Linked DNA regions of Oryctolagus cuniculus. The protein of the gene in region 2 purifies or fractionates together with the protein of the main gene of each other region. This does not show direct contact. Links are inferred from orthologs where the notes say so. Each region holds a gene or a part of one and is shown on either strand. Other genes may lie near its edges.

Evidence for each region.
Region 1: the proteins of GTF2H4 (region 2) and MNAT1 purify together in Homo sapiens (co-immunoprecipitation; 3 studies listed by BioGRID and IntAct, with this or other methods). This does not show direct contact. The link is inferred for Oryctolagus cuniculus from reciprocal best matches to the Homo sapiens genes GTF2H4 and MNAT1.

What each region holds. Positions count from the first base shown.
Region 1 is NC_091451.1:9,614,573-9,617,554, reverse strand, and holds the end of MNAT1 (CDK-activating kinase assembly factor MAT1), read left to right. Parts: intron 1-1,710; coding exon 1,711-1,831; 3' UTR 1,832-2,172; downstream 2,173-2,982.
Region 2 is NC_091436.1:139,556,623-139,561,144, forward strand, and holds the start of GTF2H4 (general transcription factor IIH subunit 4), read right to left. Parts: upstream 3,105-4,522; 5' UTR 2,884-3,104; intron 2,274-2,883; 5' UTR 2,271-2,273; coding exon 2,131-2,270; intron 1,834-2,130; coding exon 1,729-1,833; intron 1,106-1,728; coding exon 974-1,105; intron 665-973; coding exon 568-664; intron 475-567; coding exon 386-474; intron 172-385; coding exon 60-171; intron 1-59. UniProt on the Homo sapiens protein: Component of the general transcription and DNA repair factor IIH (TFIIH) core complex, which is involved in general and transcription-coupled nucleotide excision repair (NER) of damaged DNA and, when complexed to CAK, in RNA transcription by RNA polymerase II.

The DNA.
Region 1 (2,982 bases), on a different chromosome or scaffold from region 2:
TCATTTCCATGTCCCCTGTAAAAATGCCACTCACATATTATTTGTACGGTAATGTTGCTTTCCTAGTGAAGCCAGGTTGATTTCTAGACTTGCTGAGGTGACTTAACACTTACCTCATTGCTCGTGTATCAGAATGTGAACAGTTGACATTTTATTGTGTCCTGGAAGCTCATAAGCAGATAACCCTGGCTTGGGTAGGTTTGTTGAATCCTTGTTTATGTAAGTCCTCTGGGAGCCAAGGTTCTATCAAGTGCTTGACAGTGACCACTAACCAATGGCATGCACCTGCAAGGGTGTGTAAGATGGGCTACGAGGAGAAAGAATTAGACCTTGAAATATTATCATCTTTTAAATGTTCTACTTATATATTTATAACATGTATACTCTACTATATTATGTATATGATGTGGCGTGTTAATACTTTATATAATTTATAAATAAGTGTATGGGTTTCAGAGATGCATGTACAAGTATACTATAAATATACTACCAAGAAAGTTTTAAATTGTTTCTCAGGGAATATTAAATCTCTTCCTCCTTCCACTCTCCCCTTTTCACCCTTGGCAGAGAAGCCAAGAACTGAATTAGCACCTTGATTTGTGGCAAGGTGCATAAATTATAGCCAGCTCCAGGAGCTTAGCCTGTATCTTACTTTGACCACTTTTTCTATTTGGTCTCTTGTGTTGCACATATTTTTTAATCACAAAAGCTTATTAAACAAGGATACAAATGAAAAACAGACTTATTATGTTAGAAAGACTAAGTTGTTCATGCACTAAGATGTTGACACACAGGAAGTTTGAATGAATGAGTGGAAAAGTTTCCAGCTTATTAAAATGTTCTGGGACCTGATTTATTCATTTGCTATACCTGTAATTGTAAGGTGGGTGAAGCTCCTGGACTTCCTCCGACTGAAGGAACAATGTGGTTTTCTGCACCAGGCACTGAAACAAAGCTGGGAATGTTTGTTTTCTGGCCTTGTTGGCAGTCATGCTAAGAAGCTGCCCCTCGTTGGCCAGGTTTATCCTATTTTTTTAGCCTGTTTTGTCAATATAGAAAGTTTTAATTGCTCAAAAGTCTGAATTCAAAGAAAAATTGTGCCCATTACACTGTGTTTTACGATCAGTTCAGGACTTTCCCGTATTTACTATTTGAGACATTATTTTGAACTTGTGCCCAGTCTCAAAGATTTCTTGGACATGTAATTTTCCAAGTTTCCTTCCCTGCAAGGAAGCAGTGTATTTTTGGAATATTGAAATAATCTTGAAGTAACTAGTGTCCTCTCCGCCATTTATATTATTTAAGAGTTTGCTTTAAAACATTTATGTAAACTATAGTAATGCGATAGCGTGGTGACACAGTATTGTGTATGTAAGAGTAGGCCAGGAAGGAGAGCATTAGTTAGTTGCTCAAACAACAGCCAACAAAACAAATCAGTCCTGAAAAGTGTGGCACAGTGGGCATTTTAATAGCAAGCTTTGTTTCTGAAACTGACAGAGCTGTAATTTCCGTTGTAATTCAGTACTTGCTTGGGCCCTCCATGTACAGTTGGCACACTTCCTTCCCAGAGGTAATAATCCATTTATGAAAGCCTAGACATTTGGTTTTAGAATTTTTTTAAAATTGGACTCCGTTTTACTGTCGCCTTTAAAGAATGTTACCAGTCTCTGTGTGCATCTGCATCACGCTCCGCCTTTTGTTTTCTTCTAGGTATTTAACCCACGTCCGAGCTGCCTCTCCACAGGACCTCGCTGGCGGCTATACTTCGTCCCTTGCTTGTCACAGAGCCCTACAGGACGCATTCAGCGGGCTTTTCTGGCAGCCCAGTTAACCTGGATTTCTCCATTTATAAGCTTTGGACCTTGGAGCTGAACCAGGGAGCCAGCAAAGTAAAGCAGACGTGTAAAACTATACCACATGCAGCTGCACAAAAGCACCCTCACCAGCAGCTGTGTTAAACTATTTATAAAGAGAGAATCGCAGAACCAGCTGAGAAATACAGGGCGTGCATATTTGTGGGAAAGATTTCTTTTTCACTCGTATTTTTCTGAGGGTGATTGCTATGCAGCAAGATTCATCTGATGGAAAAGAGGAGTAAATAATTCACCTGTGTATGTTTGAGGTCGACAGACTTGTAAAATCATTTTAAAAATAAAGCTAGACTTTATATAAGGTTTGTGGTTTTTCTCTTATTATAGTGTTTCACTTGAACACATTTTAAAATGCCATTTTGATTACAACATTTAGTGTTAATATCCAAGTCTATTATTCTTCTCATAAAATCTTTCTTTTTTTCTAATGTCTCCTCAATACTGTGCCAGACAAGTGGATATATTTCCTTCTGCCAGCAGGTTGTGGCAAGTAAAACCTGACTGGTGATAATGTCACTCCCTCAGTATTAAGGACTTAATGCTTGTTTGACCAGTGGAAAGTGAGGCCAGCCTTGATCAAGGTGTTATGGTTCCCAGCTGTGAGGCACATTCAGGGTAGACCAGAACACTGCATTAACCTGCTTTAATGACAGATTCAAAGAAGTAAGTTAATAAAACTTAATACTTAAATGGCACCTTTCACCTCCAGTGTGAGCACATTTTATGATGAAACATTGGACTGGAAAAAGGTACATTTTAAGTGAAATTTCCCTGTGTGTGAAATGTAGACTCTGATGTAGTTTTCTGTAGAAACTTCAAAGGCTTTTATTATGCCCAGGGTTTTGCTAAGTGCTTGGATGTGGGATAGGGTGGATATTTGCAGTACCCCAGCCTTTTCAGTCTACTGGATAGACCACGGGGTGTGGGACATAGTTTCTCAAGGAAATTAAGGGATTTCCTATCAGATCTCCTTTACAACAGATGTTAGTTTTATGGGTAGAAGTCTAGATGAAATAAGACGTGTGGTTACATTAAAGTGGAATATCCACATGTAACAACGCCACCTTATTTTAGTAAGCAGGTATTAATTTCAGAGTCCATCTTCATCTTT
Region 2 (4,522 bases):
GGTGTGGGCGGCAGACTCTTGGGCAGAGCGAGCGGGGGGTGGGCCCCAGGCCTCCTCACCTGGGCGGTCTGCAGATACTGCAGCATAAAGTACCAGAGCTGGGCGGGCGTGTCCAGCAGCAGGAACTGGAAGCCGGCGGAGGTAATGCAGGGGGGCTCTCCTGGCTCGGCACTAGAGACGCAGGGGGCAGTGATGGGGACAGGCAGGGAAGGACCGTCACCGCCAGCAGCGCTCTCCGGTTCCCGCCTGGTGTCTTTAGGCTCTGCTGGACCCAGCTCTGCTTTTGCAGTCAACTCCCTCGAACCTGGTCCCACTCCAGACACCATTTACCAAGGACCCAAAGAGACGGCAGAGCAGGGAGTCGCGTTACCTCCAGCTTGCTCACCTCTTCATGAGCCCAGCCTGACTGAGGAGCTGGGCCAAGTCCTGGCTGACGGCCGCACTCGGGGAGCCCACCATGAAGTGCAAGACCACCTGCAGAGCAGAAGACAACACAGAGGCTGATGCCTCTGCGAGCCACAGATGCAGCGGCGCGAGCGCAGAACCGCAGAACCCCAGGGGCCTCACCTCCCATCGCTCCTCTGCGTACTTGTCGAGGGAGGGGACATCCCGGGCATGCTTGTCGGGTCCCAGCTGACTTGTGTCATCAGACCAGGCCTTCCCCCTAAGGCCAGGACGCACCAAGAGGTGAGGAACCTTGGCTCTGTTCCCTGCTGCCTGTCTGCCCCCTCTCCACCCTTACCTCAAGGGCCATGCATAGGGGACACTTCCTACACCATGCAGCTGTATCTGATTCAACTTCTCCCTAAAGGAGTTCTCAAAGGTGGGCCCCGCAAGGCTCCAAGGAGCCCCACTCCCCGCCAGGAGTCTCCTCTCCCCTCCAGGAGTTCCCTCTCCCCCCAGGAGCTCCCCCTCCGGCAGCTGAACTACCTGTCCCCCTGGGCTGGCTTAGGAAGAGATGGAAGTGACATACCCACCGAGAAGGGCGACGCGGAGGTTCTGGCGGAAGACGGGGTTGAGGATGAGGCCCTGGAGGCCTCCAGGGAGCAGCTGGGTGTGCCAGATCCGGAGGCCGCTCAGCAGCCCCGTACTTTGCTCCTGAGCCCTGGAACAGAAGCCGAGATGAGTGCTAAGTGGGTGTCCCGAGAACAAAACGAAGGAGGCCCACACAGGCTCCACTTCTGCCTCTTCCGAACCATTTCAGAGTGAAGTCACTGTCTCCTAAACACAAATTTCTTCCTTTTTAAAAAAAGATTTATTTATTTATTTGAAAGGCAAAGATACAGAGAGGCAGAAGCAGAGACAGAGACAGATCTTCCATCCGCTGGTTCACTCCCCAGATGGCCTCAATGGCCAGAACTGGGCCAATCTGAAGCCAGGAGCCAGGCGCTTCTTCCGGGTCTCCCACGTGGGTGCAGGGGCCCAAGCGCTTGGGCCGTCTTCCACTGTTTTCCCAGGCCATAGCAGAGAGCTGGATCGGAAGTGGAGCCCACATGGGATGCCGGCACTGCAGGCGGTGGCTTTACCCACTACGCCACAGAGCCAGCCCCTAAACACAAATTTCAGAACCTTGCTACAGACATCACAACTCTCCAAGAAGGAAGACACAGCATGCAAGCTTTGTGGTGTACCTATTAGTATTTCCTGAGAGTGTGCCAAAGAACAGCAGTTTGAGAAATCTAGCTGCTGAGAAATTTGTATCTGGCTGAGAGTGCCGTCGAGACTCACTTGCTGAACTCCTTCTTCACCCACAGGGCTACGGCAGCTTGCGGCAAAGGCTGCTCCAGAAAGAGCATCCGCATCACCCAGTTCTTAGCCAAAGATGGGAGCTCTCTGCAGAGGGTAGAGGTCAGAAATCAAAACCAGAAGCTGCCTTCTATCTCTATCTCTGCCTGACATGCCTCTCAAACATCTCATCTCACCAGAAACACACACACACACACACACACACACACGTATCTTAACCAGTCCTGCTGTCCCCAGAACCCCCATCTGTTCCATCTGCATCAATTTGGAGTAATTCCCAAGCCGTGCCAGGCTGCTACGGTTCTGCCCAGGATAACTCATTGCCGTCTGCCAGCCCTACCACATTTCTCCACCACAGTTGCTGCCGTGAAGGGAACTCCTCACCTGAAGACAGCCAGACAGGTGGCAGGGTGCCCATACAATCGATCCAAAACCCCAGGGCTTAGGCTCCCTAAGAATTCCTGCAGATTCCTGCATTGTAGATGCACCCGGTTCAGTCCACCCCTAGAAGGGGTACTCTCCATCACCTGAGAGACAAGTGTTAGCCGCACACCCCCGCGATCCACACCAGGGTCACCCCTGACCTCTGACTCCAGATCCATCAGTCCCCACAGTAATACCCGTGGTGTCCGTTCCCAGGTCATTTATCTCCTGCTGTCTCTCCAAACCTGACCAGCCTCCCCTCTTTCCTGCCTCCTCATCCCACTTCTGCCCACCACTCCAGACTTCCCTCAATTTCCAAGTTACTAACTGGCCTCTACTTGCAAAAATCATTTTGGTTGCAACGACCTGTCTTCTTTAGCTAAGCGGTAGCAAAGAACCTTGTCTGCGCCCACTCTCTCCCTCCGCCCCTCCTGCAGAGCAGTCTGCAAGCTCCAATTCTGTCCGTCTTCCCCATCCTCTACTTCGCACCCCTCTTCTGCGAGGTACGGCAAAACAAACCTCTGCTCTCCACGCTGCTCAAATCCAGACCCACCACTTCCACCTCCCCCAAGTCTACCTCACTGCGTCCACCCCGATCCACACCGTCCCATCCCCTAACTTCTCCCCGACTTCTTCTCCCCGACTTTTCTGCCACTCCCCACCCCTCTCTGCTCTCTTCTACCTCCGTCTACCCGCCCTCCCGGGCCCGCTCACCACTCTGTGCCGACCCCCCTCACTCGCCCCGAGTCTCCAGCCGTCACTTAAACGGAGCCGATGTCCCGGAGATGGGGGAAAGGATGGTCAGGAAATGAGAGAAAAAGATGGAGAGCAACGAGGGATTTCACAGCAGCCCAGAATGGGGAAAACAGAAGAGAAGGAAAGGAAGAGGAGTGGAAAAGTGGGGAGGATGAAAATAGGCGCTGCACTCGGGGGCCGCGGGGCGTACTGGGAGTTGGAGTCCTGTCCCTACGCACCTCGGAGCAAACTGAAGCTATTCTGACTACAACTCCCGAAAGGCAGCGCGAGGAAGCCGGGCGGAGACAAGCTGGCCCTTGAGCGAGCCGGGCCGCCAGAAGTCGGACCATTTTGTTCCGCGCCTCTCTCCGCCCACGCTGCTAACGGCGCTTCTAAACGGCGTGGACCGAGGCGGGACCTGGAGAGAAATGCCCCGAGGGCTTCTTGGTGGAAGGGCGCCAAAAGGCAGGGTGGGGAGGCACTTGGAGAGCACAAAACTAGATTGTTTGAGGTCAGAGGTCCCCCGCGTAAGCGCTTTCGCGAGTTGACTGCTACCCCGATCCCACGCGCCTTGACTCGCGGGCATTCAACAAGTCTTAGTGTCTTTCAGCATGCTTCCAATCCCTGTTTAGTTAGAAGACCTTAATAAATAGGCTGGTTTTTTAAGATTTATTTATTTATTTGAGAAGCGGAGTCACAGAGAGAGAGAAGGAGAGATAAGGAGAGAGGTCTTCCATCTGCTGGTTCACTCCCCCAGTTGGCCACAATGGCTGGAGCTATGTTAATCCAAAGCCAGGAGCCAAGAGCTTCTTATGAGTCTCCCATATGGGTACAGGGTTCCCAAGGACTTGGACCATCTTCCACTGCTTTCCCAGGCCATAGCAGAGAGCTGGATTGGACCAGAAGCAGCTGGGACACAAACTGGCATCCATATGGGGTGCCGGCCCCTTTAATAAATAGTTTTAAACATAGCAGGTTAAGCCACGACGTGCAGTGCCGACATCCCATATGTGCGCCAGTTCCAGTCCTGGCTGCTCCACTTCCGGTCCAGGTCTCTGCTAATGTGCCTGGGCGAGCAGGGGAGCATGTGGGAGACCTGAATGAAGCTCCTGGCTCCTGGCTCCTGGCTCCTGGCTTTGGCCTGGCCCAGCCTGGGTGGTTGCGGCCATTTGGGGAGTGAATCAGCAGATGAAAGATCCCTCTCTCTCTCTCTTTTTCATATAAAGGTGCCTGAGCTCCGTACCCTTCTCTGGCTCCTGCTAAAGCAGACCATGGGACCAGGTGGTGATGGCTCAGGTACTTGGGAGACCTGGATGGGGTTCCTGACTCCAGATTTCAAACTCCCACCCCCCAAGGTCATTGAGAGCATTTGGGGGAATGAAACAGTGGGTGGAACATCTGTCTGTCTCTGCCTGTTAAACTTCAAAAATAAAAAGATAAAGCTTGGGGAGAAATGTTCGATGAAGTAGACAGAATGCAAAAGGCTCTTCCAAAGCAAAAAGACAAAAAAAAAAAAAAGATTGGCAAAAGAGATCACAAGCAATAAGCAGGAAAAATACAAAGCCTTGTGAAGAGTTGGAAAACCATGAACCGCACTAGTAGTTAAGGAAAAGTCAAA